Caenorhabditis elegans: one gene and its partner. The protein of the gene in region 1 purifies or fractionates together with the protein of each later gene. This does not show direct contact. Each region holds a gene or a part of one and is shown in the gene's direction. Other genes may lie near its edges. The genes, in order: lpr-4 and nmad-1.

Region 1 (4,473 bases):
AGAGGTAAATTTTTTTCGCAGCGTTCTCGAACATTTATTTTTATCTTTTAGTATGGAGGTCTTTCCGAAGACTCAAACTCGTCTGGAGGTGGATTGATTGGAACTATTTTCAATCTTATCAAGCTCGGAGGAAAGAAAGCTAAGGAGAACGCCAAAAATGGGAACGGAACCGCTCCAGTAAGATTTCATATTCTTTTTAACCATCTTAATCGAGTTAATTTAGGAAAAGAACACTATCGGAAAGGCTGTATCCAACCTCCTTTCGGGAGAAAACAGTCCATTCCCAAAACCTGGTAGCAACATTCTGACTGATATGCTTTTCAAGACTCTTTCCAGTGGTTCACTCGAGTCCAATGGAACTGAAATTGAGAAGAGTGAAAATGGCTCAATTGTCCTTACCCCAGCTCAATCTGCCGCCATCAGCAGCAATCTTGAAATGATTCAAGATCTTATCATCAAGCCAAACTCTCCACTATGCACACAAAAACCAATCCCGGTTGAATTTGAACTCGATCCTCTTATGGGACAATGGTACCAAGTTATCTACTCTCCACCAGTATCTACTGGCCCTTGCAGCATGGTTTCTTACAAAAAACTTAGTGATAATGGAGAAGGTAACGTGCATTAATAGATTTTAATCAGTTTTAACTAGTTGTTTTTCAGCCACCGGATCAATCGTAGATGTCTATGAGTACACAACTGATGGAACTCCATATGGAAAGCCAATAATCTCTTCTGGATATGCCTTGGTGAAAGGAAAGGGAGAACTCATCTTCAGAACAAATTCCAACAAAGAAGATGTGACTGTGCACATTCTTAGCGTTGGACCATTGAATCATCAGGGAGAATATGAATATGTTGTCATGTCCACCAACTGCAACTATCCAGTCTATGTATTTGCAAGAGATACTAGCATTTTCAAGCAGGTATGAAAATTAATTAACAGTGATTATGTTGTGATAATTCAACTGATATTATTTTAGAAATACGAACCAGTTGTCAATGAGTTCCTGGACAAGAGCGGAATTGTGAATGGAATCTCTCGCCTGCTTAATGTTGTTGCTCCAGTCGACAACACTATGTGCATCTTCCCACCACATCTTTTCTACAACCAAGGAAGATAGTTTACTCGCCACCATCTTAATAATTTCTAATAACTCCTAATAATTTTTAATATGGTTTTTTTCCATCCATCATCCCGTTCTCATTGCCCTTTCTTCTCTTTCAACCCTCGGGTGATTACCTCATCTTTTTAAGTCTTAGTTTACAATCCAAAGCATTTTTCTTTAATTTTCATTTAGAAACTACACAAAAAATCAGGCCGTGGGCTCGTGCATTCCTTGTTGTATATAGAATTTCGAATAATTTATTCCTTTTTATAATTTCGGTTATATTTTTTCTACGTCTTTCACACTTGTCCTAATAATGTTGATAATATGCAGTTAATAAATTTTTTAAACTATCTATTTTTAACATTTCTTTAGTAATGAAGAAAGAAGTACAATTATTAAACGGATGCGCAATTCTTAACAAAAATGGCATCGTCGAAAAATCAGAGTTGATGTTTCTATAATTGATCATAAAGGATTAAATACAATTAATGAATATTCTCAATTTCTCGGCCCAGATCATTCTTACAACCATGTTATAAAATTATTCAGAAAAGTCATTTTTTAGAACTTAAAACTTTGGTTTACGAAAAATGCCGATTTTGACTTATTGAGAAAGGGGTTTCTTCTTATTTTCTTGTATCAATTTACTCATTTTTCAATTAGGTCAGGTCAAACTCTGGAACAGTGTTTGCCTGTCACATTTATCTTCATCATTCCTATTTCTGAGAGTATCTCTCTATCTCTATCAGAGTAATTCAATCCAGAGGATTAGAAAGGGGTACGGGGAAAAGCGAATATCGGTCAAGTGAAAGTGGTGACTGTCGCAATGATTCGCGGATACAGTCCAGTGAATCTTGCATGAAGAGACGCAAAAGAAGAAGCGAAAATTGGCACGTAACGAGAGTGAAAGCCTATCGACGCTGGACATTTTGAGGTCAACATATATCTCACCCGGACGATACAGCCCATTGAGAAAGCCCACACTTGGAAGTTCTAACGATGCAACGGCTGACGGCGGTTGTTTTCGCCTGCGTAATTGGAGGAGTTTTCCTCGCTGCACCAGATGCACCAACATTCGATAGCCTGCCCGCTGGAATCGACCCAACTGCAAAGGTAAACATTTTGTATTTTTTTCAGTTATTTGAGAGTGCTCAATTTCAGATTGGACCACCAGGAACTGACGACAAAGCTCTTGTGAAAGTTGGAGAGGTGGCTGAATCAATTTTGGATAAACTTGGATTCAGTACCAGAGATGAAAAGGATATTCGTCGTGCCCCAGTGCCAAGTTCTTTCTTTGGAGTGAGTATCTATGTAAATCTGCTGAATGAAATATTCTTCTCGTTTCTGAAATTAAAAAAAAATCTGACGTTTAGAGTGACGATGTCAACCAAGTTATTGAAGAGGCTAATGCTAATCGTGTTGACCTTCAAGGAATCACCTCTGGACAAATCCCAGGACTTGCTCCAATCCCAGTACCAGGATTCCCAGGACCACAGGACGCACCAGTTATTCCAGGAGTCAACACTATTCCAGGACTTAGCAATTTTAACTACCTTGTCGGACAACTTTTCCCACAAATGATTCCACCAGCAAACACTCTTCTAGGATCTTCAATCAGCAGAATTCTTCCAAAGGATACTGCAAAAAATATCGCAAAGGATGTGTTCAGAGCTGTTCACCCAACTGCTGAAAATGTAGATACCGCTAGAATGATGGGAAGATGGTTCCAAGTTATCAACTCTCCACATGTCATCCGTGAGGCCTGCACCGTGTCACACTGTAAGTAGCAGATTATATATGTCTTAACTAAAACACTTTTTTTAAACCATCTTGCCAATGTTCAATTTTCAGTCGGAGCCCTTACGAACAACACATACTCTGCTTCCTTCACCATCCTCAAGTTCTACAGAGAAGGAAATCCAAATGGATCCCCAAGATATGCTCTCGGATACGGATTCAAATCTGGAGAAACTGGACAATTCGTTCTTCACAACTCCAATTCTGCTGATGCCGAGCCTTGTAAGTTATAAACTAACTACATAATTGATAGTTGTGAAATATGCTCAGTCTGGGTTATCAAGATGGGACCACTCAATGAGTACAAGCAATACGACTACGCCATCGTTTCTACCTGGGTCAGATATCCAGTCTTTGTCATTGCTCGTGACCCAGAACGCTTCAGAAAGCTGCACATGAAGAATGTCCTCGAATTCTTGCAACAGAACAGTGAGTTAACATGGTAGAGCTTTTTTATTTAATAATTTTAATATTTAGACTACATCAACGTCATGACCAAGGCCTTCAACATGATCTCTCCAGTTGACTATGAAGCCTGTCAGTACACTCCAACTTTCTCTGGAACCGGAAAGTAATTGCTTGCAAGCGCCGTACGACTGTCATCTCGCTGTCGGGTATCCTCCATCAATTAATTGTTTCTCCCCAAACATTCCATTCTGTGTGTAGACAGATTTTGTAATAATAATAATTATAATAATGAAACTAATAACAACAAGAAGTTAGTTATAATAACTTGTAATTTTTCCCTTTCCTTGTGCCTCATTAATAACGGATTCTATGAAATCCTGATCCTCAGTTTGACAATAATAAACTATTTGATATTAAACCGTTGATCCTCAGCAAGTGTATATATTTTAAAATTAAATAAACAGCTTCTTTTTAGTTACATAGAAACTGTAAACTAAACACTCCGAAGGCAGTTTAAAAAAGGTAAATGAAGTTTACAAAAATGCCAACATAGTAGTGGAGCGGGGCCATCGGAAACCGATTAATATTTCAGATGTGAAATAGCTAGACAATTATTCAGAATGATCTACCGTTTTGAGTAACATAATCTGTTAAAATTTAAACAAGTCAACAATTGCTCATTATTTTTCTAATTTCATCATTCCTACAAACTAAAATTATTTACAGAAACTGCTCCCTACTCTGGAAGTTTGAACCTTAAATAATAAAACTTCAGGGATTTGAATTTGTGTTCCGCAATTAACTGTTTAAGCTTTTGGATTACAAATGTCTTGGTTTTATACCTGAGGTTTGAACAAACAGTTTTCAAGATTCACAACATCCATTTAAACTTTATCACCGACTCACAGAAGATGCTTCCTACGTGCCAGTTATTTTGAGAGATAAAGAGGAAAGCCTCTTTGGAAAAGTGCAAGCAACATTTTTCAAATATCCAGGTCATCTTTCCCAAATCTTGTCGACCAAAGGCGACTGTGTTGCGCATTGCGCTTCTCAGTGGATTATGTCAGATTCGATATCAAAAGTTTTTCTTGGACAATTCTCTCATTTCGCTTTCGTAACAAAATTGGGTCATGGTCGGTTGTGTTTTATCTCGAAT
Region 2 (4,040 bases), on another chromosome or scaffold:
TCGTTGAGTGAGACGATACTCCATTGTGAAGATCTTTGCATAGCTCATCTTGCTTCCTTCGGTGATTTGTCGGTGAGTTACTTTCAGGGAAGTTGGGCTCATTTTTCCTAGAGTGGCTGCTTGCTTCTTTGCCCAGTCGGATCCGTCTTTTTCGAGGCTTGCGAGGATTTCTTCGACGCTTCTGAAAAATCAATTATTTTATATATCTTAGGCAAATGTAATTTTTTGTGTGCTATCGAATCCTCAAAACTGGCCCTTTCCTAGTTTTTGCTTAAAACTAATATTATCTGAGAAACAATAATAAATCAATTCGATGAAATGCTACTTTTTAATTTGTTCCAACTCAAATACACGTGATCTTGGTGACAAAATATCTTACTTTGCTTTGAAGGAATCTCTAATTTGAGCCAAATTCTTGGACAGACTGAATTCTGGAATCTTCTTTGGCTCGAACGATCTGATGACTTCATCGACAGAGTTCTCTGTCACATCCTTAATATTCACAAGTTCCTTTTCCAATTTCGCAAGTTCCGAAGACTCCACAAAATGAGTGGCAAGACCAGCATGGAAAGCGTCAGCACCTAGAAGACGATATCCAGTGAGTGCCAAGTACATTCCGAGGTTTCCCTTGAGCCTTGAAAGGAAATAGGATCCACCGACGTCTGGGAAGAGTCCAAGTGCGGTTTCTGGCATTGCTAGCATTGTTTTCTCAGTGGCAACTCGGAAACGTCCATTTACAGAAAGACCACAACCCTGAAACAAGTTTTTTAAAAAATTGAAAAGAAAATAGTTGCAGATAACTTACTCCTCCCATCACAATTCCATCAATCAGACAAACGTATTGCTTATTCAAAGTTCCAATTAAATGATTTAAAATGTACTCCTCGCGGAAGAAATCCTTGTGCATTGTGCACTCTTTTCCACTCTCCGAATCTTTGAAAGATCGCACAACGGCAAGAACATCTCCTCCAGCACAGAACGCCTTATCACCGGATCCTTTCAAAATGACAAGATCCACATCGGAAGATGAATTCCAGGCTTGAAGTTTGGGATAAAACTCTCGTACCATTTCGAGGTTCAACGCGTTTAGCGCTTTAGGCCTATTCAATGTAACCACCTTCTTCGATCCGTGTGTGTCGACAAGGATTTCCGACTTGGCGGCGGCGCTCACGGAGAACGACATCTTCTGGCAGACTTCCTGGAAATTTCTGAGTTTAGAACAGAAAATTTGATAGAAAAATAAAATGTTAGTCAAAATTTGTGAAAAATGAAACCTTCGAATGAAGTCCGCGGAAGAGTGCGGGCAAGTTTCGGACAGTGGCAGCCATGTCTCTGAAAATTGGCTTAATAAAATGAAGAATAGTTTACGAAAACGAGAAAAGTGGTCTTGTTCCGCGAGGTTATAAAGGGAAAACATCACTGATCACAAAAAGAAGCTTGCACTTTGAGCACAAAACAAGAAAATAGGGAAATTTGAGGAATAGACTAATCAATCAATAATTTAACTTTCATTTTCACGCAAATTCCGTTAAAGAATCGATGAATAACTTGTAAAAATAATTAAAATTGATCAAATTAGGGTTTTCCGCCGAAAGAAAAAACTAAATGGGCGGTGCTTAATGAGTGAAACGCAATGTGCGCGCGCTTTTTGCGCAAGTGCCCCGCGCACAGTTTGGCAGGCAGAGATTTTTTCAGTAGACAATTTTTTTTTATATTTTTAAGATTTTTTGTTGGAAAATTAAAGAAGTTGTATCATTTTTCATGTGGTAATTTTAAAAAATAAATGTTCAATTCATTTTTATTATCCTTTCACTCTGAAAATGTTTAGAAATATTACGAAATTCCAGAAAACAACACTTCTCGACATGGGTTCCGCAGAACAAGCGTGTGGCTGCAAGGGAGCTCGATTTTGTGCACTTTGTGAGACAACGGAACGTGTGAAAAAGCTTCGCGTGGTGGAGGATAAGCATGTTAACTACAAAGTATGCATATTTCATTTTAAATAATCTTTAAAAAAAAACAATTGAACCGAATACAAAATTCCAAATTTCAGGTCTTCATTTACGATCACATTCGTCAAATCGCAATTCCAACGACAAATCTGAACTCTCAGTCTTCATTGGAGGATATCATTGATGGTTTTTATTACATATAATGAGTTTTCAACTAAAAATGAAATTTCTAGAATCCACCTCGTGCCAATCCGTATCTACAGACGGCTCCATCGAAATTGACGGGCTCACTCTCATTCACAATTTTCTGTCAGAATCTGAAGAATCTAAAATTCTCAATATGATAGACACAGTTGAATGGGCACAGTCACAAAGTGGTCGAAGAAAGCAAGTAAGAAAATCATTTAATAAAAAAAACATAATTTTAAAAGTTCAGGACTACGGACCGAAAGTGAATTTCAAGCATAAAAAGGTAAAAACGGACACATTTGTCGGAATGCCAGAGTACGCAGACATGTTGCTCAATAAGATGAGTGAATACGACGTGAAGAAACTCGGAAATTATCAGCCATTCGAAATGTGCAATTTGGAGTATGAGGAAGTGAAGAAAAGTGCCATTGAGATGCATCAGGATGATATGTGGATTTGGGGAAATCGATTGATAAGGTATGAATTCCTTTTTAAAAAAGTACTGTTTAATTAATATTATTTTCGGCAGAAATTCGACAAAAAATTTTTATTTTTGCAAAAAAAACGCGAATATTTTAAAACGAAATTCCCATTGACAGTAATCTACAAAAAAAAAAATTTTTTTTAAGATCTGAAAACTTCAGAGTATTTGATTTTTCTCAAAAACTGTGTTCAAAAAAATGCCTTGCCTCGAGAATAATAAATTTAAATACTGTTTGTCCCCATTTCATTTTTTTTTAATTTCCAAAATTTAAAGAACTTTGAAGAATCCAATCAATTTTTCAGCATCAACCTAATCAATGGATCCGTGATGACTCTATCCAACGATAATAAATCGTTCTTATGCTACGTCCATATGCCTCATCGTTCTCTTCTCTGTATGGCCGATGAATGTAGATATGATTGGAAGCACGGAGTTCTCGCTCACCACATCCGTGGACGAAGAATAGCGTTGACGATGCGAGAGGCGGCCAAAGATTTCGCTGAGGGAGGGGAATTGTATGAGAAATACGGTGCCGAGCTAATTCGCCTGGGCAACATTCGAGTACCACTTTCGAAAACTTCCGTGTGATGATAATTCCTTTTTTCTGTCTGTTTTGTCATTCTTCTCCTTGTTCAACCAACTTTTTAATTGAAGAAGTTTTAATTTTTATTCTTTGTTCGTTTCTCGTTCAGGTGCAAAGTAATTATGGAATGAATCGGCTGAAAACCGAATTGGGAAAACAACATGTGACGTCACAGAGAGCCATGTGATCGAGATAAGATAAGGAGTGAACGGCTCGGAGAGCATTCATTTAATGATTGATTGGGATGGACACCTGTCAGATAGACTACATTACAGTTTTCCTGTAGGCACACGTGTGACCCTGAACCTAAAAAATTTGAAATTAAATTCCAACAAAGAAGAAAGAAAACCGTATAATTTAGATAGCCATCTCGATTATTTACCTGTAGTTTGGAAGACTCGTCACGAGGTTATTGAAAGAAAGAGAGAGAGTTCGCTGACAATTTGTTTACCTTGGAATCAAAAATTGCTTGGTTTGCAATTTTTCAGAACCCACGTGGCTGTTATTTTCTTGCGTTCATTAGGAATATTTTAATCTGTCAATTAATCCGTTTATAAAAAAACCGATTTTTAGCTTTGAATTTTAGTTAAAATAATGAAAAGAGACTTGCGCCTTTAAAGAGTTACGGTAGTTATCAAAAGATTTTCAGAAAGTTACAGTAACCCAATGAAGACGCACGTCTATTTTTTTTTAATTTACTGGTTTAAAACTAACTAAAATAAAACAAAGCTTTCTACTCGGACTGTGTTTTTACTTATTATAAAATCCCCGAAAAATAATTCCGTCTAATAGAGCGCAATTGCATCAGATGTTACAAAAATTAGCCGACGTA

What was found.
Region 2: the proteins of lpr-4 (region 1) and nmad-1 fractionate together in Caenorhabditis elegans (co-fractionation; one large-scale study listed by BioGRID). This does not show direct contact.

What each region holds. Positions count from the first base shown.
Region 1 is NC_003284.9:11,063,077-11,067,549, forward strand, and holds lpr-4 (Lipocalin domain-containing protein), read left to right. Parts: upstream 1-2,049; 5' UTR 2,050-2,111; coding exon 2,112-2,225; intron 2,226-2,273; coding exon 2,274-2,411; intron 2,412-2,485; coding exon 2,486-2,891; intron 2,892-2,963; coding exon 2,964-3,131; intron 3,132-3,179; coding exon 3,180-3,338; intron 3,339-3,386; coding exon 3,387-3,484; 3' UTR 3,485-3,735; downstream 3,736-4,473. Other genes in the region: lpr-5 (Lipocalin domain-containing protein), read left to right, coding at 1-4, 52-177, 224-614, 664-926, 984-1,124.
Region 2 is NC_003281.10:5,552,742-5,556,781, reverse strand, and holds nmad-1 (DNA N6-methyl adenine demethylase), read left to right. Parts: upstream 1-1,847; 5' UTR 1,848-1,865; coding exon 1,866-1,982; intron 1,983-2,053; coding exon 2,054-2,138; intron 2,139-2,185; coding exon 2,186-2,343; intron 2,344-2,388; coding exon 2,389-2,618; coding exon of another isoform or gene 2,619-2,655; intron 2,656-2,927; coding exon 2,928-3,213; 3' UTR 3,214-3,293; downstream 3,294-4,040. Other genes in the region: hach-1 (3-hydroxyisobutyryl-CoA hydrolase, mitochondrial), read right to left, coding at 1-181, 380-753, 806-1,198, 1,275-1,328. UniProt on the Caenorhabditis elegans protein: Dioxygenase that specifically demethylates DNA methylated on the 6th position of adenine (N(6)-methyladenosine) DNA. N(6)-methyladenosine (m6A) DNA is involved in epigenetic transgenerational inheritance.